4 linked regions of the Arabidopsis thaliana genome follow. The protein of the gene in region 4 interacts with the protein of the main gene of each other region in a pairwise test. Each region holds a gene or a part of one and is shown on either strand. Other genes may lie near its edges.

Region 1 (3,365 bases), on a different chromosome or scaffold from region 4:
CGTACAAAGCATCGGATCTGAAAGCATCTGTTCATGCCTTACAAGATCTGCAGCTTAACACCAAAGGTTGCCCCTTGAGCGCTATACGCATGAAGTATAGGCAAGAGAAAGTAAGCTTATCAGTTAAAACCACATACTAAAACCTGTTTGGTATAACTTTAGTTTGGTTTCCTTGATTCTCATAAGACTTATTATGGATTTGCAGTACAAATCTGTGGCGGTTCTCACGTCTCCAAAGCTACTTGACACGCTATTCTGAAGGTTTCAACTCCTAACCGATAATAGTTTTGTCACATTGATGGTCCAATTTCGTTTTCATTCATCTGTTACTCTTTGTTCATAAAACAGAATTTCCACAGTCCCACTCATCTAATACCTGATTAGAATTCGGTTTAGCCTAGTTTGATCCGTGGTTTGGTTCTTCCAAACCCGGGAACATCTAATCGGTACCTAGAGTTTTTTTTATTGTAACGAGAATGTACATTTTTCTCCCATCTTGAGGCAATGTAAACAGATTCGGAATTTTCATATCAGTTTTCTGATATGAAGTAGGTTTAAGTATTTATATTTCAAATTTCATTGATTGTTGATATTGAACTGTCATGCAGTAGCTTATAAGAACCGCCTCTAGACTTTAGTCCAGTGACCAAAAGATAAAGATGAATGAACTATGTCAAAGAAAACAACTTCTACAGAAATTTCGGAAATCTTAGACTTCCGAAGAGAAATATTGAGTAACTGCAAAAATGTATATTTAGATATCTGTAAGGCTCACTCACATTCACATGTGACTATAAATATCATTCATCCTCTGTTACATGATCTCTTCATAATCCTTAACCTCTTGCACGATCCAAGGAACATTCTGCACACAAATAGTTTCATAATTTATTAGATATCAATTAAATAAAAGAAAGTAAATTTGAATGTTATAGAGGTCGCTAGAAACTTACTCCCAAGGAACATCTCCAGCAAGCATCCAATCTCCATCTTTGTCTTCATATATTGGTACACATTCACTTTCCTTCAACGTATCATCTTCATTTTCATATATAAAGATTATAAAGTTAATATCGATGTTTTGGATCATTAGTTGCCTTGATAAGTAAAGACTAAAACCAAAAATATATACTATATATAGAAACATAAACTAACCAAAATTGATATAGCATCCGAACAGAATTTGCAGAGCGGAAGCAAGATCTTGGTAACATTTGTACATTTCCAAATCAATCTTCCTTAAAAATGCAGCTCCATCTACACTCACTTTCACGTACGAACTTTTGGTCCGTTCGAGACTGTTCTTTCTCCGGTACGAACAAACCGGTGGCCAACCCACAACTTGACTCTTTTTCGCCGGTTCACATTTCAAATCAATCTCTACTTCCGGAGAAGCCCTCTTCTTCCCGGAGATGGACTCACCGGAGACGACGATATCTCCGGGAAGACCTAGCCGTAGTTCGGTGATTTCGAGTCCAAGATTATTACTCTCATTCGCCATCTTTGATGTTTTTGATTGAAAGTATTGGTGTTAATGTGTTTGAACTTTATTCTGTTGCCACTTTATATGTTCTCATGGGAACATAAACGATGGCGTTTGAGACAAGCTTGTTTAGCATTGATTTATCTTGTCGGCCCCATTCGAAGATCTTGTCGAAATTTTTATGTCATGTTTTTTCATTCCTTTGCCGCTTCGTGTTTAAATGTCGATAATATGGATCCGTTGGTTCGACACACTGGACGGCCACGATTTTGTTACCGACAAAGTAGGGTTTCTTTCTCAGCCGTTGGATCAGAAACACGTTACTTTCTATTAGACATCCCATGTTATGTGTGATTTGTTATGTCTGTATCCCATTCTTTTAATCAACGACATAATAATAAAACAACATATTCATGGTCGAATATATATTAGTGCACTTTAAAATCTACGTATATTTATGTTTCTCGACAACCGAACACGTGTTACTCAAGGCTAAGACAAGTTATTATATTATTTCATTTTTTTCTACACGTAACACACTACACAGTGCATACATAATTTCAAAGAAAAAAATGCATCTACGTTTTCGTCATATATCTTGTTTCTGCTATTCACACATGTGCCCGATACTTTCATTACATCATACGTAATCTACACATGTACACCATACTTTTGTCATTATTTGTTACGAAATAGAAACAGAACTGATCAAAATATCAATTACGGGATATATTTCCATTTTTCATAGATATTTCCATATCTTTGTATCTCCAATAGTACATTTTTGGAATGTTCACATGTTGATAGATAAGCTAGATTAGTCAAATTTCCTTGTACACAATTTCTAGTTTTCGATTGATCATGTAGAATTGCGTATAATATATTGTCGGCTGGCTTTAGCCAATGAATAACACAACAAGACTTTGTGATAATGGACAGCGAATCCCACAGTGATAATGATGATCACATAATCGACATTACAAACGATGAAGATTCTTCATCAAGATCGTCTTTGGACGAGAGAAGCTATCCTTCATTAAGTTCGTCTCTGTCTACGGATGACGAATCGTCAGATGAAGGTGCAAGTTCATCTACGAGAGACTGTGGTAGTCTTTGGAATATAATGGAATTAGTAGTCACTTTGGTTCAGATTGTTGCATCATTAATAGTTTTAACTCTGGCAAAAGATGAACATCAACAAGCACTTTTGTTAACATGGGTCATCGGTTACACTTGTGGCTGTATTACCATTACGCTCCTTATTCTCCTCTCGTGTGTCCGCAAATACAACCGAATTGGTGTTTACTCAAAAACGAGGTATAATAAACAACACTTGTTTCACTTAACATTAAGAGTTTAATTAGCTAAATCAAACCGAACCGTTGTTGGTGGCAGAACGGATAGGGTAATGGATGCTTTGAAGATGGGGAATGAATGTTTCTTTGTTGTGTGGTTAGTTATGGGGATTCTATGGATTTGTTATGGACACTCATCTTCTTCTGATACTCCTAAGCTCTACAGGTTTGACTCACAATCATGTCACAGTAGAGATTTAGTTAAACCCTAACTAATCAGTACTAACTTTTGTCTTCTTGATTATGTTTTGGCAGGTTATGTGTAGTCTTCATTGCTTTCAGTTGCATTAGATTTGCATATGCATTACTATTATGCGCAGGTATTTTTTTCGCTTAATGTTCACTAGAGTTTGGAACATTTTTTTCTCATATCTATGATGTGGATAAGTTGAAATCAAATGATGTAGATTCTGTAAGGGAAGGTATAGGAGGTAGATTTGTTTTCAAGAAACCGAGCCATGATGATGTGAGTAATAATTTCATATCACATTAATTACTCTGTTTTAAATAGCATTTTTTTGTTGTTG
Region 2 (3,636 bases), on a different chromosome or scaffold from region 4:
TTTCGACACGTCCTCCATATGTATTATCTTGGCTTAATGATTTGATATCATCAACAGATATGATGCACCCTGAAATGTTAGAAAAGCTTGTCTTGAATAACTTCTGTAAGTAAAAACAGTTGATCCCATTTAAGTATGTGAGTTCTTAATGTATTTTAAGTGGAAAAGAAACGTATCTTCATTAAGAAAAAGAAAATGCTGGAACAGTTACTATTAGATGCTTGAATGTACCATGACTTTTTTTGCAATCCGTAATTGCTCCCTTTATGGTGATTTTCAAGAGTTTCTTTGTTTTCTTACATCTAGGTACCATACCTGCAAAACTACTTATTCAGCTGACAACGGCCTTTCGAGAGGGAGGCTTACGTGATCGTAGTGGTAAATTTTACTATAAGGATCATCTTCCCAGAACCAGTGTCCCTGTCTTAGCTCTTGCAGGTGATCGGGACTTGATCTGCCCCCCTGCGGCTGTGGAAGGTATACTAACATAATGTTTATTATGAAATTCTGCATAGATGACTCTAGCATATACATGAAACCATTCATTTACCCAGATATGCATTTCATTTTAAATTCTACATTGCTGTTACTGAATTCTTTCGAGTTATGAGAGGCTGTATAAGGCGTAGATGGATTAACTTTTGTGATACTTTCCACACACACCAAATAAATTTTTAAGCTACTCACACATGCATTTTCACCATTATGACTAATTACAAATGCTTGTGAATATGGCAGACACTGTTAAGCTGTTTCCGGAGAACTTGGTCACTTATAAGTTACTTGGAGAACCAGATGGACCACATTATGCACACTATGATTTGGTTGGAGGACGACTGGTATGTTTGTTCCCCAGTCATTTCTAGGTCTCCTCCTATGTTGGAACTTTGTTCAATGCTGTATCATGTGCATGCTTGTTTCGTTTGTTAATCGTTTCTCTGACAACTTACTGCAGGCAGTGGAGCAAGTCTATCCTTGCATAACTGAATTTCTTAGCCACCATGATTCCGCATAAGTGAAACATTTCGGGAGTTTCTGTTCCTTGCATGCTATAGCACATGTAGATTGTAGACGTCGCACTAAGGTGGTGTCGAAGAAGTGTGTTTCAGAAGCGCCTGTTAAAAAGGATGCCATTTCCGTTTAAGACACGTACATTTAGTATCTGGGCAAACTGTACATGAGCTTAGGATGCAGTTTTTTCAAGTCATACACCTGTAAATTAGGAAAAGCATCGAATGAGATGCTGGAAGCTCTTGTCTACTGTGATGATTTCCCTTGTTTTGTTATGGCAACGAGCTTTTTATTTGAACATTTATCTTTAGAAGAACTGGTGTGTTCTCTTGTACTGCTTTGCTTCTTTTGGAGGACTTGAGTTATCCATGAGAGCAATTGTATAGACATGGATTTATGTGTACATTTTCTGTCTTAGATCCATTAATGACACAGCCCTACTTCTCAGATAATGTGTGGGATACATGATGTAATGATAGATCTGAATTGTCTAGTATTAAACAACAGAGCTCTCTTTCATGAAAGATATTGTCTCTCCACCATCATGTAAGACCATACCTAGTTCTTCTCTTTCTTTGTCCATAAATTAATTCGTTGGATTCTCTATGGTACAGAATTCTCTAGCACGACTTACCTATTTCTTTTGTAACGTGTTTGATGTTGAGTGATTACAGGTTTTGACTTGAGACAATGAGTTGTCAACACTCTCTGATAACATTGAGACACTTCACTAGATAGAGATGTGCTTGCTGTGATTAGTATAGTACAATTCTGACTTCACGATAATTTCAGGTTTTTGTGTTGGCTGACCAGATGTATTGCAGCGATCCTCCCCATCCCTTGCACTTAGTGGCATCAGACAAACAACAAAAAGACCACAAACTGATCCTTTCCTGGAAGGTAATGTGTTCTTGTCTTTTGTTTGTTCCCTGTCTGCAATGATGTCTCTTAACTCTCCTGACACTCTTAGCCTTAGCTGCTTGATATAAATCAACATCATTCTCACCTTTCTATGTATCTGTTATGTGCTGAATATGTATTTGTTATAGAAACCAACAATGGACTCAGACCCACTCGGTGTTTTCCCAAATTCTCCCAAGTATCATCCATATTACTCGCAGACCACGGAGTTTGGTGGCGTAATCGATTTAGGTCTCAGCCTGAGAACCATACAACATGAGATTTACCACTCATCTGGCCAAAGTGAGTTTCTTTGCCGTTTCCATTAGTATTTCCATTACCTTTAATTTCTTGGTAAATTTTTTCAACTCTGAGACGGTGTTTACTTATGAGTTATGACATGTGGCAAAGGATATTGTAGTAATGAAGGATACAGACGGAAGTGGGGTTATGTAAAGGTCACCATGGATGGTTTGGTGGTAGGTCGCAAGGTCTGTGTTCTTGATCATGGAAGCTATTCAACTCTTGCTCATCAACTCGAGGACATGTTTGGTAAGTTTTTCATGGGAAGCTTGGGATTCAAAGATGAGTAAGTACTATAAGTAGTAATGTTCCTAGTAGGCTTATACCGGATGTTCATTACAATCTGTAGGGATGCAGAGTGTGTCGGGATTGAGGTTGTTCCAGATGGAGTCTGAGTTCTGTTTGGTCTACAGAGACGAAGAAGGTCTGTGGAGAAATGCTGGGGATGTTCCATGGAAGTAAGCTCTTGATACTTTCTTTGTAGATTACTGAAATAAAGCGTTTACATGTGTTGTGATTTGTAAATGACAGTGAGTTCATAGAAAGCGTGGAGCGGCTGAGAATCACAAGAAGAAACGATGCTGTACTTCCCTTTTAATATTAGCTTCTCTCTTTCTTCACTCTTTGTTATAATTTCCAAGTCAGCCTTGAATCGGAAATGAAACAAAAGAGAAAAGGTAAATGTAACTTTGAATACGATTATATTCGAAATAAAGAAAGAACCACGAACTACTTTTTTCGGTGAAATCCTGATCACTAGAGCTCCGATATGTTACGTCTGGATTCTCGTCTTACCATGATACGAAGATATTGTGAACCATCCAGTTTTAAGATATAGTGGTGTAATTACGATGGTGAATTTGCCATTTTATCTTTCATACTTTTCAATTCATAATCCGCATAAACGAAAAATGAGTAGGATATCGAAGGCCTTGTGAAGACAAGAGAGCTCAACTCCGGCGACAACCTCGATCTTTTTTCTTACATTTTCATTCATACGGAGTTGTTGAAAGTCTACGACGTTATCTTTTACACGTAAGAGTGACTGAACCGGTGGCTGATTAGGATGACGTGATTTCCATAATTAATTCAACACCCTCCAAATACAGAAAGACATGCATTTATATAGTATAAAATAAAGACATATACAGTATATGCTCTGCATGCTTAATATTGTTACAAGTCAATGAGTCATCCATTCATATCTAATCCTCCTAAGAACCTAATCTGATCCATATCCATTTATTACTAAGAAAACGTTTTTTTGTTTAACATAACCAAATCAAAAGAAGGAATAATTTGGAATATCCAGAGAAGTCCATCTCAGCATCCAATAGGCAATAGGAAAGGTTTGACCAAAAACGTATACAGATAATAAAAAGTGTGCGTCAGCTTTGAGTGGACGCTGCGCCTCGACGCCTC
Region 3 (3,914 bases), on a different chromosome or scaffold from region 4:
CATCATATATTATGCTCATCGTATCATTAGTGCATAAATAAACTATGGACCAATTTCATGGTGAAAAAGGGGCTTCGGATGAAATTTTTGATCAAATTATATTTGTTTATTGATAAAACAAACGTTTTTTTTAAAGGATGACAGTTGTGCGTTTGAGATGAAAACCAAACACTGCTCCCACTCAAAATTTGTAAAAATGGAATTTATAAATATTTGGTGCTACAAATGTCGTTTGGTAGCCTTTGGAAACATTAAAGGTAAACTAGAGATATGGGAGTATGGAACTTAATCTCTTTATGTGGTTGTATTTCATATAATTTCACGTGGCCCAACTTGTTTCTGTCAATCCATTGATCAAAGTTGGTAGACAAGAGTGAACCCACACACACTCACACACATACACACGGTCGATCTTTTTTTCTATTCTCGTGTCCCTACGTCCTCTAAACCCCATCATTATACTTCTTGTGTTTTATTGGTATGCTGAGCTAGAGATAGTTAACAACTACCCAACAATGCGGGTCTGGCTTAGTTTGAACCTATTCGAAACTAGTTATACTCCGCTTGAAGTCATTGGTTCGAGACTAACTTTGGAGATGAGTATCATAAACAGCTCTAACTTAAGATTACAATACATCCTCTTGTTAGTCTAAGTTGAGAGGTGTTGCCATTGACTATATATTTCTTTGGGAATTTGGTTTACCAGGATGTTGCAAAGAAGATTTAAATAGTTATAAATTAGTACAAATTCAATCCATATGATATGATATTCAAAAAACAAAAAAAAAAAAAAACTGATCTAAAAGTCGAACCAAATTCTAATTTGATTAGAGCATGTATATAATTGAATCCCTAAGTAAAATTCAACCCAATACTTGAGAAGGTAGTTATATTCTTATAAATTATGGATATGATTTGATTAAAACTCAAACCTGAACCCAAAACATACTAGAATATACGTTTTTACTTTGTAACTATTTGTCACATTCCAAAACTAAACTCGGTACTATATTTGATTCTGATCCATACAAATTTTGTATATCTGGTTTATATTCTCCATGTGAGATTAAAGCGGTGACCAATCAAAATCATTGCTGGAATATCTTACTATTAAGCTAAATGTTGTTAGTTATATACAAGCCAATCCAAAAAAACTGATGCAAAGAGAGATAAACGAACATATCCCAAAATGGTAGGATTTGATTTAATATTCCCATCCTCTTATTAGAAATGCAAACAAATAGACTATAGTTTTATTTATTTATTTTCACTATAAAATAACTAAATAACATGAACTTATTGAAGAAAAAGTATACTATAGTTGTGATTCTGTGATATACTAGTTAGAACAAGAATCTTTACAAAAAAAAAACACATGGGATGTTAGGAGAAGGAGATTCGGATTCCAATGATCCAACGGTCAGAGAAAAATCAGAAGAAAATTTCACAACCGTAGGATCTGTTCCCTTAACCACCTTGTAATGCCGGTCTTTATTAATTTTGAGAAAAAAATAAAAACAGCACCAAACTTATGTCTCTCATGTGACCGACCACCGCATCCTCAGTTGACCTGTCTCTGCCCCCACTTTGTCTCCCCACACAAACTGAATAACAAGAAGAAGAAGACTTTAGATATCAAATGACTCCACGTGTCGATATTGGATTGGTTTTCATTGGTTGTATCGTGTGGACCAACGAAGCAACATATAAAAAGCACGACGCGGTGCCATTACTACAATAAGAGAAGTGTAGGAGAAGAAAGTTCTCATTTCATAATTGTATCAAATTGTGAGAGGAAAAAAAGAAGTTCAAGAAATGGAGAAGGAAGGACTCGGGCTTGAGATAACGGAGCTGAGATTGGGGCTTCCGGGGAGAGATGTGGCAGAGAAGATGATGAAGAAGAGAGCTTTCACGGAGATGAATATGACGTCGTCGGGTAGTAATAGTGATCAATGTGAAAGCGGCGTCGTTTCATCTGGTGGTGACGCTGAGAAGGTTAATGATTCGCCGGCGGCGAAAAGCCAGGTGGTGGGGTGGCCACCGGTTTGTTCTTACCGGAAGAAAAACAGCTGTAAGGAAGCTTCGACCACGAAAGTGGGGTTAGGGTATGTGAAAGTGAGCATGGATGGTGTGCCTTATTTGAGGAAGATGGATCTTGGTTCGAGCCAAGGCTATGATGATCTAGCCTTTGCTCTTGATAAGCTCTTCGGTTTCCGTGGCATCGGTTAGTAACAATTATGTTCTCTTCCCATAAAAGTAGAGTGGTAATTAGATCATGTGGAAAACAACTAATTATATATAGTTTACAAGACGTCCGATTAAGAACTTAGAGTGTTGTAGTCTTGTAGACGTAATGGAGTAGTATAGTTTAGTGCTGTTCTTTCTTTTTATGTCTACAACCAAACCAACACCCCAATTTATGATACAATGACAACACTAATACAAATATAGTTAGAATTTTGGTTAGCAGTTGAACTGATTGTGGTAGCAATGTTATAGATTTTAATTTAAAGTGTTATGAAAGGACAAATATGTCGAGATTTTTATTAGTCATCTCAGGAAATTTATTTACTTGTTCTTAGAGACTTAAGACTAGTCCTAATTTAACTGGTTATTTTTCTCCAAACTGTTTTGAATTATCTGAAAATTATCTATCATAGAAAATTAGAGGTTTCGGTTACTACATATCCGTAATTTCTAAAAATCAGAATTTATGCACCACTTGTATAGTTGTATTGTTAATTAGACTTTTCTATATACCGAATTCGCCATATTATCAACACAATTTTAAATTTACATATATACATATTTGTGCAGGTGTGGCCTTGAAAGATGGTGACAACTGCGAATACGTTACCATATACGAAGACAAAGATGGAGACTGGATGCTCGCCGGTGATGTACCTTGGGGGTATGTTCTATCTTTTGACTTAAGATATCTCACTACAAAAAGAAAATGTATCACAAACTAAAGTAAATGAGTTTGGATATTTTGATTTGCAGGATGTTTCTAGAGTCATGCAAGAGGTTGAGAATAATGAAAAGATCGGATGCTACCGGGTTTGGGCTGCAGCCTAGAGGAGTAGACGAGTGATGATGACTTGAACAAGAAGCAAGGAGCTGGTTCATTAATTTAATCTTAAACTTGATCATCAAGATCCTTTAGAACATTTTTCCTATTCATGTTATATAAATATATATGTTATAGTATATTATTTTGCAACAAAATTTCATGTTATGGTTTTGCATAATTATCTTCAGAAAGACAGCTATATATATATACACTACTTGTTTCTTGAGTGTTGAGTTAAAACATTAATCTGTTTCAAAATTTATTGTTATTTCGGATCTATATATGTGTGTAGAAACATATGTAATAAGTATCCATTATTTCATCTTTTTAAAAAATAATAATTATTATTTGAATCTTTCATTGTTGATATGTTATGTATACCTGTGTTTTGGAAAAAATATGGATATTATAAGCAAATCTAAATAGATATTTATAAAAAAAGTCTACGTAAAACATTCGTTAGTTTTTACTTCTACTTCAGTAAGTGACATCACAAATCTAAATAGATGTTTTCATAAGTATATAAGTGTAAGATAAAAACAAAGAATTCATTCTTCCTTTTTTTTCTCTTAGAGTTATGCTTGTATAATTTATTAGTACTATAAGATTTTTACTAGTAAGTTTTTATTCCAAATATTCGTATACCTCCGAAGAAATTAGTTAATTCATAATCGTAATTTCACATTCAAAGTTAAGATTGCTTAATTTAAAGATTTAAGCTTATTCTTCATTTTTTTTTTTTTTTTTGTAATGATTCTTTTTATAGATATGCACATCTTGCTTTTGATAGCATAAGTACTATCAATTATAGAAAACACCGACATGTTCGGTATGTCAACCT
Region 4 (4,600 bases):
CTGTATCACTATGCCCTTTTCTCTGATAATGTTTTGGCTACGTCAGTTGTTGTTAACTCTACCATAACCAATGCAAAGGTAAGAATTAACTTTCTTCTTTTGTTTGAACATGTAACTGTGTTTCTTTCTGTTAAACTTACGGTCTTAATGGTTTATTGGCAGCATCCCTTAAAGCATGTCTTCCACATCGTCACAGACAGACTCAATTATGCGGCAATGAGGATGTGGTTCCTGGACAATCCACCTGGCAAAGCCACCATCCAGGTTCAGAATGTTGAAGAATTTACATGGCTGAATTCAAGCTACAGTCCCGTTCTCAAACAGCTTAGTTCTAGATCGATGATAGATTATTACTTCAGAGCCCACCATACAAATTCAGACACCAACTTGAAGTTCCGGAATCCAAAATACTTATCGATCCTTAATCATCTTCGTTTTTACTTGCCTGAGATCTTTCCCAAGCTCAGCAAAGTGCTCTTCTTGGATGATGATATAGTTGTGCAGAAGGACCTTTCTGGTCTTTGGTCAGTTGATCTGAAAGGTAATGTTAACGGTGCTGTAGAGACGTGTGGGGAAAGCTTTCATCGCTTTGACCGTTATCTGAACTTCTCAAATCCACTCATTTCCAAGAACTTTGACCCTCGAGCTTGTGGTTGGGCGTATGGTATGAATGTCTTTGATCTGGATGAATGGAAGAGGCAAAACATCACAGAAGTTTATCATCGATGGCAGGATCTGGTATGCAGAAAATATATATATGCTAGGTCGCATCTGTTTTGATTTCAAGAATGTTTGCTAATCATATACACGAACGATTTTAAACTGCAGAATCAAGACCGAGAATTGTGGAAGCTAGGGACGTTGCCGCCTGGTCTAATCACATTTTGGAGACGAACATATCCGCTAGACCGGAAATGGCACATACTAGGGCTTGGATACAACCCGAGTGTGAACCAAAGGGATATTGAGAGGGCAGCCGTGATACACTATAATGGCAACCTCAAACCATGGCTAGAGATTGGGATTCCAAGATACAGAGGCTTCTGGTCAAAGCATGTAGACTATGAGCACGTTTATCTCAGAGAATGCAACATCAATCCTTAGAATTAGAGTCTGTTGTGAGGGCAATATTATACGTTTATAATCTGACGAGATGATCATTACATGAAATTGTATATGTCACGGTAAAAGGAGTTCCAATAGGCACGACCGATGTTATTATTGCAACATATATATCAACAAGAGGAATGACAACGAAACAATGAAACAACTACTTTTCGTATTCCTTTTTGTCGCTGTTTATGTAAAGCAAGTGACAATTGACATAGGTCTATAGGAGACTTTAGACTTTAATCAAATTTGCCAAAGAGCAATACAACATAAATAGTCAAGCCGATTATCGAACCAGAGTAGCATGAATATTAGCCCAGTGAAGACGAAAAGAGATTCGAATCGGAATTACGTGAATGTGATTTCGAATGACTCTGACAATACGTTTTGACTTGTGTAGTTTATTGTATATTCAGTTTAACTCTGTCACCCGCCGTGTTCAACCTTGCTGGTTCAGAGTTCCACAGGTAAGTTTTTCATAATTTTCTCACGCTGCAGTCCACTTGAGTAGTACTCTAACACAATGTTACAGGTTGGTATGGTTGCCATCAACGATGGGATTCTACTTCGTAATCACATCCACAGGATTCTCAAAGCATTTCCGTGAAAAGCCTTACTATCTTGACCTAGTTGATTTGTTAGGATATGAAATTCACTGATCCATAAAAAAAAACATAGGGGTACGTTTAGAAGAATACATAAAGTATAGGGACTGAAGCTGCAAATTTATGTTCTCAGTAGATGTTCGATCTTTGGACAGAATTGAAGAAAGGAGAAACCCTAGACTGAGTCTGGTTACTTGAAGGGGATCATGTGAATACGTCGACTGGTAAAGAAAGAAAGATTGCTGCTTTTTAGATTTAGATTCGAGAATGTATGGAAGATCTGGTCTTGACAGGTTTAAGAAGTCCCAAACTTCGGAACCCTTCTCTGTATCAGCAAATCCTCCTCCGGTGGTACAACAACATCTGTCTCCGGAGGCATTGTCGGGGCAAAAAACTCAGATTGGAGCTGGTCAATCAAACTGGCATCCCCCTGATTGGGCGATTGAGCCTCGTGCCGGTGTCTACTCTCTGGAAGTTGTGAAAGACGGCCAGATCCTTGATCGGATTCATCTAGATAGACGAAGGCATATCTTCGGGAGACAACATCAGACTTGTGATTTTGTCCTTGATCATCAGTCTGTTTCCCGCCAGCATGCCGCAGTTGTTCCTCACAAGAATGGCAGGTTTGTCATCGCTACTCAATTCTCTCATCACAGCTTTGGCCACTGTTGACATGAGTCTTTTTTATTTTTTGTAGCATCTTTGTGATTGACTTGGGATCAGCTCATGGTACGTTTGTTGCAAATGAGAGGTTGACTAAAGATACTCCTGTAGAGCTTGAAGTGGGTCAATCCTTACGATTTGCTGCCTCCACAAGAATCTACCTTCTGAGAAAGAACAGTGAGGCTCTCTTTTCTCGCCCTCCACCTCCAGCTGAGATTAAGCTTCCTCCACCTCCTGATGCTTCTGATGAGGAAGCTGTTGTTGCTTACAATACCTTGCTGAATCGATATGGTTTAAGCAATGGAGAATCTGGTGGTATGTTAGGGAAAAGGAAAGAGAAGACCGGATCAGAAGCGGGAGTGGCTAAGAGGATGAAGAAAGTGAGAGTGAGCTTCAGGGATCAACTAGGAGGAGAGCTGGCTGAGATTGTTGGCATGTCTGATGGAGCAGACGTGGAAACAGAGCCTGGTCCTATAAATGTCAAAGAAGGAAGCCTCGTTGGGAAATATGAATCACTGGTGCGAGTGACACTCATACCCAAAGGCAAAGTGAAGGAAGAGAAAGCCTTTACAGGAGGAACAAGAGGAGGTGTAACAGATCGACTCCAGGAAGCTATGAATATGTTGAAACGGGGTCCAAAAACAGGGATTTACGATGACCTTTACGGTGGTGACTCACTTGCCAAGGCTGTTGGTACGTCATGGGCTTCTGTGAGTCAACCAGCAGCTGAAACTGAATGTGGAGGGGTTGGTGAAGAAGATGATAACGACGATCTGTTTGGTGACTAACTGATTTTGAACACTGAGATTCCTTTAAGTAACTCTTCTTCTTCTCTAATGCCTACATTCCATTCCAAAGGCATTGGTATGTTGTTTCCTCTTTGTCTATCCAATGGCTGCAGCAAGAAAAGAGAGCAGCTCTAAGCCCAGGCCCATTGTCTTGTGTTATAAGTAAGAACCCTGAAATTTGATATGAGCTTGAGCCTGGTCAGTGGTCATTCTAGTTGTGGGTCTTAACAGGAGATGCATTACATAGATAGTCATTACAAATAGTGTGGAGAGTAGAGAGTAGGGCCAATGCAAATGGAGTGCATTTGATTAGACCACTACTGACTTACAGATTCTCTCCTCAAGGCAGACCAATTCCATCAGAAGAGGACATTTGTACTCAAATACCTCTCCTCTCATTCTTTTTCACTTTTGCCTTTTTGCATTATTAAAACAGCACACTAATGATGTGGGTTGACTTCCCTCTCCCCCACAAAAACAGAGATTCCATGGGGGGAAATGGACAACAAGTAAAACACTTGTAAAAATGGTAATCTGCCTCTGATGCTTTAAGATATGATTTGGGGATCAATGCATCTTTGCTTTGGGATTTGCTTTGTGACAGTTAGTATAAAGAAGAGAGAAGCTGAATGTGCTGCAACCAAATTAAAACTCTCTTTTGAGTTAAGCCTATATCCAACTCCTACTCTTCCTAGTGTGGTCCATTGTATTTATCATAAGAGTAAACTCGCTTGTAATAAATTATAGTAGGGAAAGGTGGAAGACCCACTTTTGTTTCTCACTTTCTTTCTGTTTGGTGAGAAGTTGTTTTCCTTATGCAAAAGATGGAATGCATGAAGGACACTTGTGTCTGGCTTTTTATTTATTTTGGTTGTGGATACTTTCATGATATACTTTACGACCTCAACCCTTTAATACCACACAATCTACCTCCATTCATCTTTTCTCTTCTCTTAATTTTCACCTTATCTCCCAACGAGACCATAGAGGAGTTACTGACTCCAACTTATAGCTACTAGCTATGCTGCGTAACTCTCTTAAACACTACCTTGGCACCTATGACAAATATGTTAGTGAGCCAACTTTTCTGGCTTTGATTTTCAAACCAAACAAGTATGAAGGAAATACATATCAGACACCATTTGGAGACTTGAGTCCATGCGGGGAGCAACAAGTGACGAGGCCGGGACCCTTGTTGCCATTCAACTCTCTCTCTCTCTTGGGATTTAATTTCACTAACACTTTATGTCAATTTGATCATTACCACTTTCACATCTCTCTCTCTTCTCCTTCTTCTTCTTCTTCTTCTTCCTCCCTCATATCAACCTTTGAGCACACCAGTTTTCATGGTAAAATCAATCATCCTTTTGCTTTATCTTTTTCGTTTTTTTTTCTCTCTCTTTTGGTTTTCAGAATTGTATCATAAACAGACTA

What was found.
Region 1: the proteins of AT5G47790 (region 4) and IAA5 interact in binary tests that used the Arabidopsis thaliana proteins (3 or more experiments, as listed by UniProt).
Region 2: the proteins of AT5G47790 (region 4) and IAA34 interact in binary tests that used the Arabidopsis thaliana proteins (3 or more experiments, as listed by UniProt).
Region 3: the proteins of AT5G47790 (region 4) and IAA19 interact in binary tests that used the Arabidopsis thaliana proteins (3 or more experiments, as listed by UniProt).

What each region holds. Positions count from the first base shown.
Region 1 is NC_003070.9:5,364,960-5,368,324, forward strand, and holds IAA5 (indole-3-acetic acid inducible 5), read right to left. Parts: upstream 1,539-3,365; 5' UTR 1,502-1,538; coding exon 1,156-1,501; intron 1,039-1,155; coding exon 954-1,038; intron 866-953; coding exon 805-865; 3' UTR 553-804; downstream 1-552. Other genes in the region: CYCA2;3 (CYCLIN A2;3), read left to right, coding at 1-110, 206-259; AT1G15590 (E3 ubiquitin-protein ligase), read left to right, coding at 2,415-2,800, 2,879-3,004, 3,246-3,273. UniProt on the Arabidopsis thaliana protein: Aux/IAA proteins are short-lived transcriptional factors that function as repressors of early auxin response genes at low auxin concentrations.
Region 2 is NC_003070.9:5,181,432-5,185,067, reverse strand, and holds IAA34 (indole-3-acetic acid inducible 34), read left to right. Parts: upstream 1-1,654; 5' UTR 1,655-1,824; coding exon 1,825-1,911; intron 1,912-2,038; exon of another isoform or gene 2,039-2,060; coding exon 2,061-2,214; intron 2,215-2,322; coding exon 2,323-2,463; intron 2,464-2,563; coding exon 2,564-2,672; intron 2,673-2,745; coding exon 2,746-2,812; 3' UTR 2,813-3,077; downstream 3,078-3,636. Other genes in the region: AT1G15060 (alpha/beta hydrolase family protein), read left to right, coding at 1-105, 307-477, 739-839, 956-1,015. UniProt on the Arabidopsis thaliana protein: Aux/IAA proteins are short-lived transcriptional factors that function as repressors of early auxin response genes at low auxin concentrations.
Region 3 is NC_003074.8:5,262,285-5,266,198, forward strand, and holds IAA19 (indole-3-acetic acid inducible 19), read left to right. Parts: upstream 1-1,716; 5' UTR 1,717-1,815; coding exon 1,816-2,224; intron 2,225-2,817; coding exon 2,818-2,911; intron 2,912-3,003; coding exon 3,004-3,094; 3' UTR 3,095-3,411; downstream 3,412-3,914. UniProt on the Arabidopsis thaliana protein: Aux/IAA proteins are short-lived transcriptional factors that function as repressors of early auxin response genes at low auxin concentrations.
Region 4 is NC_003076.8:19,349,414-19,354,013, forward strand, and holds AT5G47790 (SMAD/FHA domain-containing protein), read left to right. Parts: upstream 1-1,878; 5' UTR 1,879-1,982; coding exon 1,983-2,338; intron 2,339-2,412; coding exon 2,413-3,166; 3' UTR 3,167-4,082; downstream 4,083-4,600. Other genes in the region: GAUT4 (galacturonosyltransferase 4), read left to right, coding at 1-78, 163-738, 829-1,104; AT5G47800 (Phototropic-responsive NPH3 family protein), read left to right, coding at 4,188-4,515. UniProt on the Arabidopsis thaliana protein: Inhibitor of protein-phosphatase 1 (PP1). Binds to and inhibits PP1 activity.